2 linked regions of the Caenorhabditis elegans genome follow. The protein of the gene in region 2 interacts with the protein of the main gene of each other region in a pairwise test. Each region holds a gene or a part of one and is shown on either strand. Other genes may lie near its edges.

Evidence for each region.
Region 1: the proteins of hsp-16.21 (region 2) and K02E2.7 interact in a two-hybrid assay, tested with the Caenorhabditis elegans proteins (one large-scale study listed by BioGRID).

The regions. Positions count from the first base shown.
Region 1 is NC_003283.11:20,383,976-20,389,053, reverse strand, and holds K02E2.7 (Cilia- and flagella-associated protein 251-like), read left to right. Parts: upstream 1-2,011; 5' UTR 2,012-2,080; coding exon 2,081-2,146; intron 2,147-2,191; coding exon 2,192-2,275; intron 2,276-2,320; coding exon 2,321-2,455; intron 2,456-3,263; coding exon 3,264-3,380; intron 3,381-3,434; coding exon 3,435-3,486; intron 3,487-3,581; coding exon 3,582-3,800; intron 3,801-3,850; coding exon 3,851-3,931; intron 3,932-3,974; coding exon 3,975-4,285; 3' UTR 4,286-4,324; downstream 4,325-5,078. Other genes in the region: F53H2.1 (SH2 domain-containing protein), read right to left, coding at 520-579, 666-782, 913-1,041, 1,148-1,231, 1,274-1,339; K02E2.11 (Phosphatidate cytidylyltransferase), read right to left, coding at 4,822-4,859, 4,919-4,964.
Region 2 is NC_003283.11:14,462,972-14,466,479, forward strand, and holds hsp-16.21 (SHSP domain-containing protein), read right to left. Parts: upstream 1,458-3,508; 5' UTR 1,404-1,457; coding exon 1,272-1,403; intron 929-1,271; coding exon 617-928; 3' UTR 549-616; downstream 1-548. Other genes in the region: srz-97 (Serpentine Receptor, class Z), read right to left, coding at 2,124-2,138, 2,183-2,317, 2,364-2,528, 3,439-3,508.

The sequences.
Region 1 (5,078 bases), 5.9 Mb from region 2:
AGTTCTGAAAATTGCGTTCAAATGTTTCACAGAGCAGTTTTTTCATCAAAAGCTTAAATAGTTGCAAAATGTATGAAATTGTTTGAACTCAGAATTTAATTTCAAAAAAAGTTTTGTTCGCATTATGAGAGAAAGCTGTCAATTCTGACCCTTCTAATGTAGGTTTAATCTTTTTATAAATGTTCCTGAGCACTTTGGAACAAAAAACAAATTGCAAAATGTAGACGCAATTGTGGATATTGTTTTAATATTAAATGTTGTTTCATGAAAAAATTCCTGTCAAAATACAAACGCGCCGAATTTCAGCACCTAGAACATTTTTCTGAACATAGTTATACAAATTTGGCAACTTTGAAAGTGTAGATAAAGTAACCGTAAACATTTTGTTAAATAAAAATAATTTGCTAACTGTTATAGTTTTTGAGCTACACATGTTCGAAGAGCTGAAGCAAATCACCGAAAACTTGGAAATGAATAGAATATTGGCCGGCACTGTATGTAATAAATTCGCATTCCTACCGTATTTTTGTTTCTTTCGTGACGTAGGAGGCTCTTAACATTCAAATCCCGGTCATGAAACTGCAATACAATTGTCTCTCAATTTACACAAAGTCGAATAAAAATATTTGGCAAATCTTACTGCCAAGACAAATTTTTAAACTTACAGTAACATACAATTTGTCATCCACAACAACATAAGTGTAACATTTCTGTTGATCCCTGGCTTGTTTCAAGACATAATCAACAGACTCCCGATACTTCCAGTAGAACCTATCCCAATCCTGCAAAATTAATCAACTTTTAAAGCCAACTACTAGAAACATTTGTTTTAAATAGATATCTGACTCGAAGCCAAGCAAAAAGACGGAAAGTGGGTTTCATCATATTAAAACTTATCAAAATGAAACCCACTTTGTTTGAAATAGCCCATTCAACGTCTTCGTAGAATTTACCAACGTATCCAGTATAATTTCGGTGAGGATTAAGTAGATACTTCAAACATTCCATAAAGTTATGAGCGCAATATGTGACCGTGTAGTTCTACAAAATGTTTAAACTCTTGTGATTCCACAGAATTTGCACAGAAGTAACAATAAATGAATCTTCTGGTGAACAAGACTTAAACTAACTGAAAACTTGAAGTTACCTTTGGTAAATCGACAGTTTTTAAATTCTCTGATAGTTTTTTGAATTGGGCACTGTAGAAGTTATAGAATTTTCTATATTTACTCTGAAAAATTAGAAATTGAGTTATCACTTAATTTTTTCCTACTTTTTGGGAGCATTCATTGAAGAGTTGTATCATTTCCGGTGTAATATAAAAACAAGCGAAATCCATTCTGGGAATTTCACGAATTTAACTTGTAAGCACTGCGGAAAGTTATCAAGAAACAAAATGTCAACTGAACTGATGTGCTGAAAGAAAAAAACCAAAGGTTAACTTATTGCTAGGCCTATGTTGAAAATCGATCACTGATAACAGTTTGTTTGTGGAAACATTTTGGAGTGAGGAATCGTTCAATATAGTTTGTAATCAACCTATAGGTTGCAGAAATTGTATGAGGAGTGTTTTTATTTGAAAAAAAGTTTGCCGTACATTCACTAAAGTAAAAAAAAACATGAATTTTGATTTGAGTTGTGCTTTTTTTTCAATTGAGAGACTTTTAAGTCTGTCGATTAAAAAACTAATAAGAAATTCGTAACTTAAAATGAGTGAAGATCGCATAATAATAATTTTCCAATAATTCCAATACAAGAAGTCAGCTATGATCTTACAAAGGCCAGAAGCAGGATGTGAAAATTTTTCAGTTTTAGCAATCGTACAAACAAATTGAATACTCTTTACTTTCTGAGCGGTTAAAAACTGATAACAGAATAATGTACTAGGAATAGATATTTCAGTTTAACATCACTATTAATTCCTTAGATGTGAAAACTCCTCGTTTGGTTTTTCTGCATAAACATCAAACTCTTATCAGTAACTTCCAACATAGACATACATAGCAATACTTTTCGAGTCACAGTTTTGTAATTGACATATTTTTTCTTGCTCATTAAATTCTATTAATTCGATTTCATAATGGAAATTCCATCTTTTCATATTACACCAGATATGAGAAACTTATTCAGTGAATGTGTTAAAGAAGTAAGGTAGTTTCCAAATTGATGACTTAATTCTTAACTTTTTCAGGGAAGTTATAAACTTTTCTACGACTTATACAAGAGTGAGTTCGAAGATCTAGCCGTACATTTGAAAACTGTCAGACTACCGGAGGTAACTCAGCTTTTACGGCGCAGTTGATAAAAAGTAACGTTCAAGGACACCGTACTCCACTACTGCGTAAGCAACTTCATGGAATGCGTGGAATATTTAATTCATACTGGCCGCGGATACAACTATTATGGTCACGTTTTTAGCTTTTACAGGGATGTTGACTGGGCAATTTTAAATGGAGTGAGTTTAAATTAATTTGATTTACATTTGAGCCACTTTCTTATAAAAATACACATTAAAGGTGGACTACACCCTGTGGGGAAATTGCTTTAAAACATGCCTTTGGGGTCACAATGACCGAATATCATGATGAAAAAATTTTAATAAAATTTCTAGGTTTTAAATGATTTTTTGAAAATTGAGAAAATCTCAGTTTTCCCCTAATTCCTATTTGAATTTCCGCCAATTGAATTCGTTCGATGGAGCGCGCTTGCATTATTTTCATAATTTTTTTATTTTATATTCATTATTTCACTGAATTTCTTTATTTTTTGGGGGTTTTTCATCGGAAAATGAAAGAAATAAACAAGAAAGAAGCAAAATGTTTATTTGAAAGTAATTGAAAATGCCTTAAACTCTGAAATTATGCGATCCGACGACGATGAGCCTGAAATTAATATTATTCAGAGTTTTAGGCATTTTTAGTTACTTTTTAATAAACATTTTGCATTTTTCTTGTTTATTTCTTTCACTTTCCGGTAAAAAATCCCCAAAAAATGAAGAAAATCAGTGAAATAATGAAAATAAATAAAAAAATAATGAAAATAATGCAAGCGCGCTCCATCGAACAAATTCAATTGGCGGAAATTCAAATAGGAATTAGGGGAAAACTGAGATTTTCTCAATTTTCAAAAAATCATATAAAATCTAGAAAAATTTTTTACATTTTTTATCATGATATTCGGCCATTGTGACCCCAAAGGCATTTTTTAAAGCAATTTCCCCACAGGGTGTATGTAGTCCACCATTAAATAATGTTTGACTTCAGGATTGGAGCAGATTTTACTGGAAATTTCGCGACTCCGTAGATTATGTTATAAAGAAAGCAAGAGAGCAACGGAAAATTCAAATTTATGTTGTTGAAGGAAGTGCACGTTATTCTTCTGTAAGTCATGCCTAGTTCCCAAAGATTGAACGTTTCTGACTTATTTCATTGCAGTTCCGTAGCCGTGATCGCAAAAATCCCAAAGAAAATTCTCCAGAAACTCGAGGTATGGTTTAATTTTTTTTAAGTCTAAAAAAAATTCAGCACAACCCTCTGATAATCTAAAACTAGACGTCTTAGTATCAGAAAACTCTGATTTAGTCCAAAAACCAGTCCTGGAAGATTTTGAGAAAAAATCGCAAGAGCGGGAAAATCGAAGACGAGAGCTTGAAGAGGAGCTGAGGAAACTGGATCTAGAGGAAAAAGAGCAACTGGCTATGATTTCAAACTTCAAAAGCCCGGAGCCGGAACTTCAACCAATTTCCCCGCCACCCTCAATACATGATGACCTTATAAATGACATGGATGGCGGAATGTTTGGTTAGCTCACACTTTTGAAAAAAACAACTTGTTTAAAAAAAAGTTTGTAGGTTCTGAAAAAACTGACGATTCAAGTTTGGAAGACTTGCAGCTTCATGTACAAGAAATGGACAAGAATACTATGTTAACAGGTTAGTTAAATTTTTTATTATGTATAAACATGTGTATGTACAGAAAATTTCGATCAAGATCAAGAAGAACTGAAACTTTTTGTGCAAGAACTAGAGCAAAACGCTGCTGAAACAATTAACAATTCCTCTCACCAACTCGAAAATGCTCTGAAAGCTGAAGAAAATATTGAAACTGAAATCTCTGAAGAAGAAGCTAGCGACGATGAAGAGGAAGACAATTTCCACACAATGCTCCAAGAACAAGCTGCACGTCACAAGGAAGAAATGGAAAAAGTCATGAAAAAACGGGCGGAGCAGAAGAAAAAGCTTGAGGAGCTAAACAGAAAAGTTAATGCAATAGTTTTTTACAAATAACTTAAGTTAGGTATTGTGTTCTTAAATCCTCACAATAAATCTCTCACTTACTATATATTTCGAAAACTTGCTTATTCATTGCGAATTTCAATTTTTCATAAGAAAATCTGGTTCATAGAACTTTTAACCTTTTAACCGATGTCATTCTAAACACTTTTGGTATTTCATTGACAGGTTCTGAAATTTGTTAAATAATTTTAAAACTTTTTGAAAAATTTCGAAAATTTTTTTTGGAATTCTCTGAAACTTTTTAGAATTTTTAGAATTTACTTTTTAAAATCTGTATTTTTCTGAAATTATTTAAACACTTTCTGAAATGGCTCTTTTTGTAGAGTTTTCAGACCTTTTCTGGAATTTTCTGAGCAAACTTCTAATATTTCATTGAGTGTCTATTAAAATTATTTAAACAATCGATTCATTGACAAAAAATAAAAAAATATGAACAGATATTCTGTATGAGGTGTCTAAATAAATTTTAAAAATCAAATTAAAACTTGAGTAGATATCGTGTATGAGGTTTCACAACCCTTCCATCTTTAAAACCCGTTGCAGATAACTGGTACAAGGATTATTTCTGAAAAATAAAGAAAATTATTGTATAAGTATGTACATATTTTTTCTCTAACTATGTACCTTGAAAACGCTTCGAATAGTTATTCAATTTCGCCTCCAGGTCCATCTACAAACAACATTCCTGAAAAAAAATTGGAAGTGAGAATTTTTTTCAAATTTAACGCTAATATTTGATTTTCCAAATTAAAAAAAGATAAAATCTTCAAAATTCCAAACAACC
Region 2 (3,508 bases):
GGAAATAATAATATTCTCAAAATGCCAGTTAAAAGGGAAATATCCGAAAGCTTTGCTATCTTGAATTGAAAATATGTTCCCAACTGTTAAAAGTAAACTTGAAATAGCATCAGTTGCCGAGCAAAATGGAAGATAGTAGTCACAGAGCACATTATATGAATTAGAACTTCCAAAAATTAGTTGCAGTGATTCAAAATCATTAATGTATATCTTTTTTTCAGGGCCGCGCGCACGCAGCCCCGATACGCAAAAATTAAGCTGTTGGCGAATCTCAACTCGAGACTGCCACATAGGTCAGCCCGCCCAAAAGTGCAATGGGTAGGCCTCACCATGGGGATTCCGCCTTCTTGATCGCGAAATAACCCCCAGCCAGGTAAGTTTATGAGACGGGGGGTGGAGGGAGTGGTGTGCTCGTGTGTTCCGACATTTTGCGGGTTCCGCTGCTCACCATGTTTAGCGTACGTGAACTCCAAATTTGAAAGATAAGAAAATGATGTTTAATTGCACATTTCTCTTTCTCGAACTTCAAAGCAGTTAAAAAAAAGTAAAAGAGTCTGTTTATTTACAATTTCGATTCTCAATTTGAGATCACAAAAAAGAAAAAAAATAAAAGTATTTATTCAATATGATGATGGTCCATGCTGGCTTCTTTGACTGGAACTGATCTTCCACAAACACCTTCCAATTTCGGTGCTTCAATACAAAGTTTTCCATCATTCGAAAGATTAGTTGCAACTGAAGTAATATCAACATCTTCTGGAAGAAGAATCATTCTTGAGAACGACTTTCTCGATGCACCATGTTCATTCTCCACGTCATGTTCTCCTTGAATTGACAGTTGTCTTCCTTCCAGATTGACTTTCAGCTCTTCTGGCTTGAAGTTGGAGACATTGAGATTTACAGCAAATTTATCATTGGAATTCATTATCTGAAAATAAAAATAGTTTGAAATTTCATTTTTCACCTCTTTTTAAAAGTTTTTCAGAAACATTGGTTGTTTACAAGATGAGGTTGCTTGATTCTTATTATCCAAATGCGAAAGTTGGCAATGTTTACTCTCGCCACGAACAAAAAATTTCACAATCGCACAAAAAGGTGTGCGCCTTTAAGAGTTACAGTAATCCGCTCCCGGTTTTTTGTAATGGTTTAGATTTTTAGTTAAAAAGCATCGAAAAAAAAACCATGAAAGTGGATTACTGTAGTTCATAAAAAAGCATACTTTTCTGATTTAGTTGAAATCTTAAATTCTAAGCGAAGAATAATAAACCAACCTCAGAATCATCGGTCATTGGGTTAAAAGTTCCAGAAATTGGCATAAGCCGGCGTTGCATTCCGCCCATATCTCTCATCATTTCACCGAGTTGAGAGTCTCGTTTTGGGTTGAAGAATGGGCTGACAGACATTTTTTTTTCGTTGAAAAAGTTGAGTAGACGATATAGAAATTTTGGGGTTGGTTTGTGAAAACCTGAAAATCTCGCCCTTTTTATACGAGACTTTGTGTTTTTGTTTTCCTTTTCTAGACTTCTCGAGTTATTTTCTGTTGTGTTGTTGTCGTCGACCAGAGAGCCAACTTCGATGCATCAAAAATCTAGAGAGTAAATATTTTGGTGAGACGCAGTTATTTTTTCGTCTAAGTCTCCGCTTGTAGGTCTGCTGGAGAATTCTAGAAGGCATCAGTGATCCATAATAGAGGATAAAGTAGACTCTCCTGAAACAAAATTAAAAAGATAAATCGAAAAGTAGATGACACCAGTTGCCGAGCAAAATAGAAGCTAGTAGATACAGGTCGTAGTGTCTGAAAGAGAATTTTCAATAATTAGATAGGTGAAAACTGAGATCTCATACCGTTTGAAAAAATTGTCCAATATTTTTTGAAAAAATTTATTATCTGGTCATTTTAGCGCCATAGAAATAATTTCATATTATATTCTTGGCAACTGGCCGTACTCCACCTTCAATCAAAATCGAATTGTCTCTATAGATACGTTTATTGTGTATATCAAAGTACAGTATTCATTTTATTTGTCAATACCAAAAAGAAACTTCCGGTGTAGCTTCGGTAATATAATTAGGTAATCGAAAATGCGATGCGAGACAAATTGGGATGCACAGAATTTTCCACATTACCAAAAACGACTCTAAAATATTTCTGGATATCAAATGAAAAAAAGAGGCAAATCACATCGTGAATATTACACTTCAAGTACGACAATTGAATTATCAAAGGTGTAGTTACAACATCAGCTAACGACATTGATAGCATTGAAGTCGATGCACAATTGTATTCTAAATTTGATAGAAAATATGGAAGCGTGACCTGAAAGCAAAAATTCAAAAACCAATGATGTAGGTGCAAAACTGACCAACTTGAAGAACATAACTAGACAACTCTGGAAAAAAACGTACTCATGTAGATAAATGTGTTGCTGAGAATGTTGGTGACTATTTTTTCGCGTAACAATCATAACAGGAATGTAAATTAATGGAGTGAGCAAAGGAAGTACAATGTTCAGAAAAAGTAGTAATATCTGAAAAGATGGAACCAAAGTTTATGGGGGCTGTTTTTGGAAAAGTCTGCGGAATGTGGGTTTGCCTTCAACCGAGTTTTACAAAAGTAAAATATGTTTTTTAGAAGATTATGTGAAAACTGAATATCATCATATGCAACTAGATTACTTGCATATAAGTTTTGTCATTCAATAGTCAGCGCTTTGAAACTGTTTCTTATTAATTTTCAGGTGTCAAACTCAAGAATCTAGTCCAGAGCAAAATCTCAAAATTGCTGAAAATAGCATTATAACTAAGCACTGAAGAGTAAATCTTCAAAACAATTTTCCAAAATCAAATTTACGAAAGAAGGAGTACCGTACAAAACCGCTCAAACTATGTTCAAATGTATGCCACACTGTATGTTCTACAACTTTGTTTTTGAGTATAATTTGATTTCTTGCCTGTCCGCAATGAGTTGTCAAGACAAGATTTGTAAAGCTATTCCCATTTGAAAACTTATGTTTTTAGAAAAACGAGACCAAATTCATTAAATACAAACCTCCAATTTTAAATAGTTTTAAATTTTTGGAACCACTTTTTTTTTAATTGACCATCCGTTTCAATTCTATAGCAATTTTGATAAATCACCCTGGGTTTGGATATGGAGTATGACAGCTGAAAATTCTTAAGAATCCGTTTCAAAATAGGGGTCACCATCAAATGGCATAGACATCATAAGTATGAAAATCCTCTGGGCACCCCGAATTAGTTCTCACGACCATCAGAGTTTCTATTATTCCAAATTTATTTTCTTCACAATTTTTCTTTTCGGAAATGTGACATTTTTTCAAAAAGTATTGCTATAATAATAACTAGTTGCACAACCAAGAAAAACGCTCCAAGAATCGACCCTTCCCCGCAATGATTAAATTTGTAAAAATATCTTACCATGTAATAGGATAAAAGCGATTGCAGATTATTTTCACTAAAATATTGGATGCTGTTGAGATAACACAAA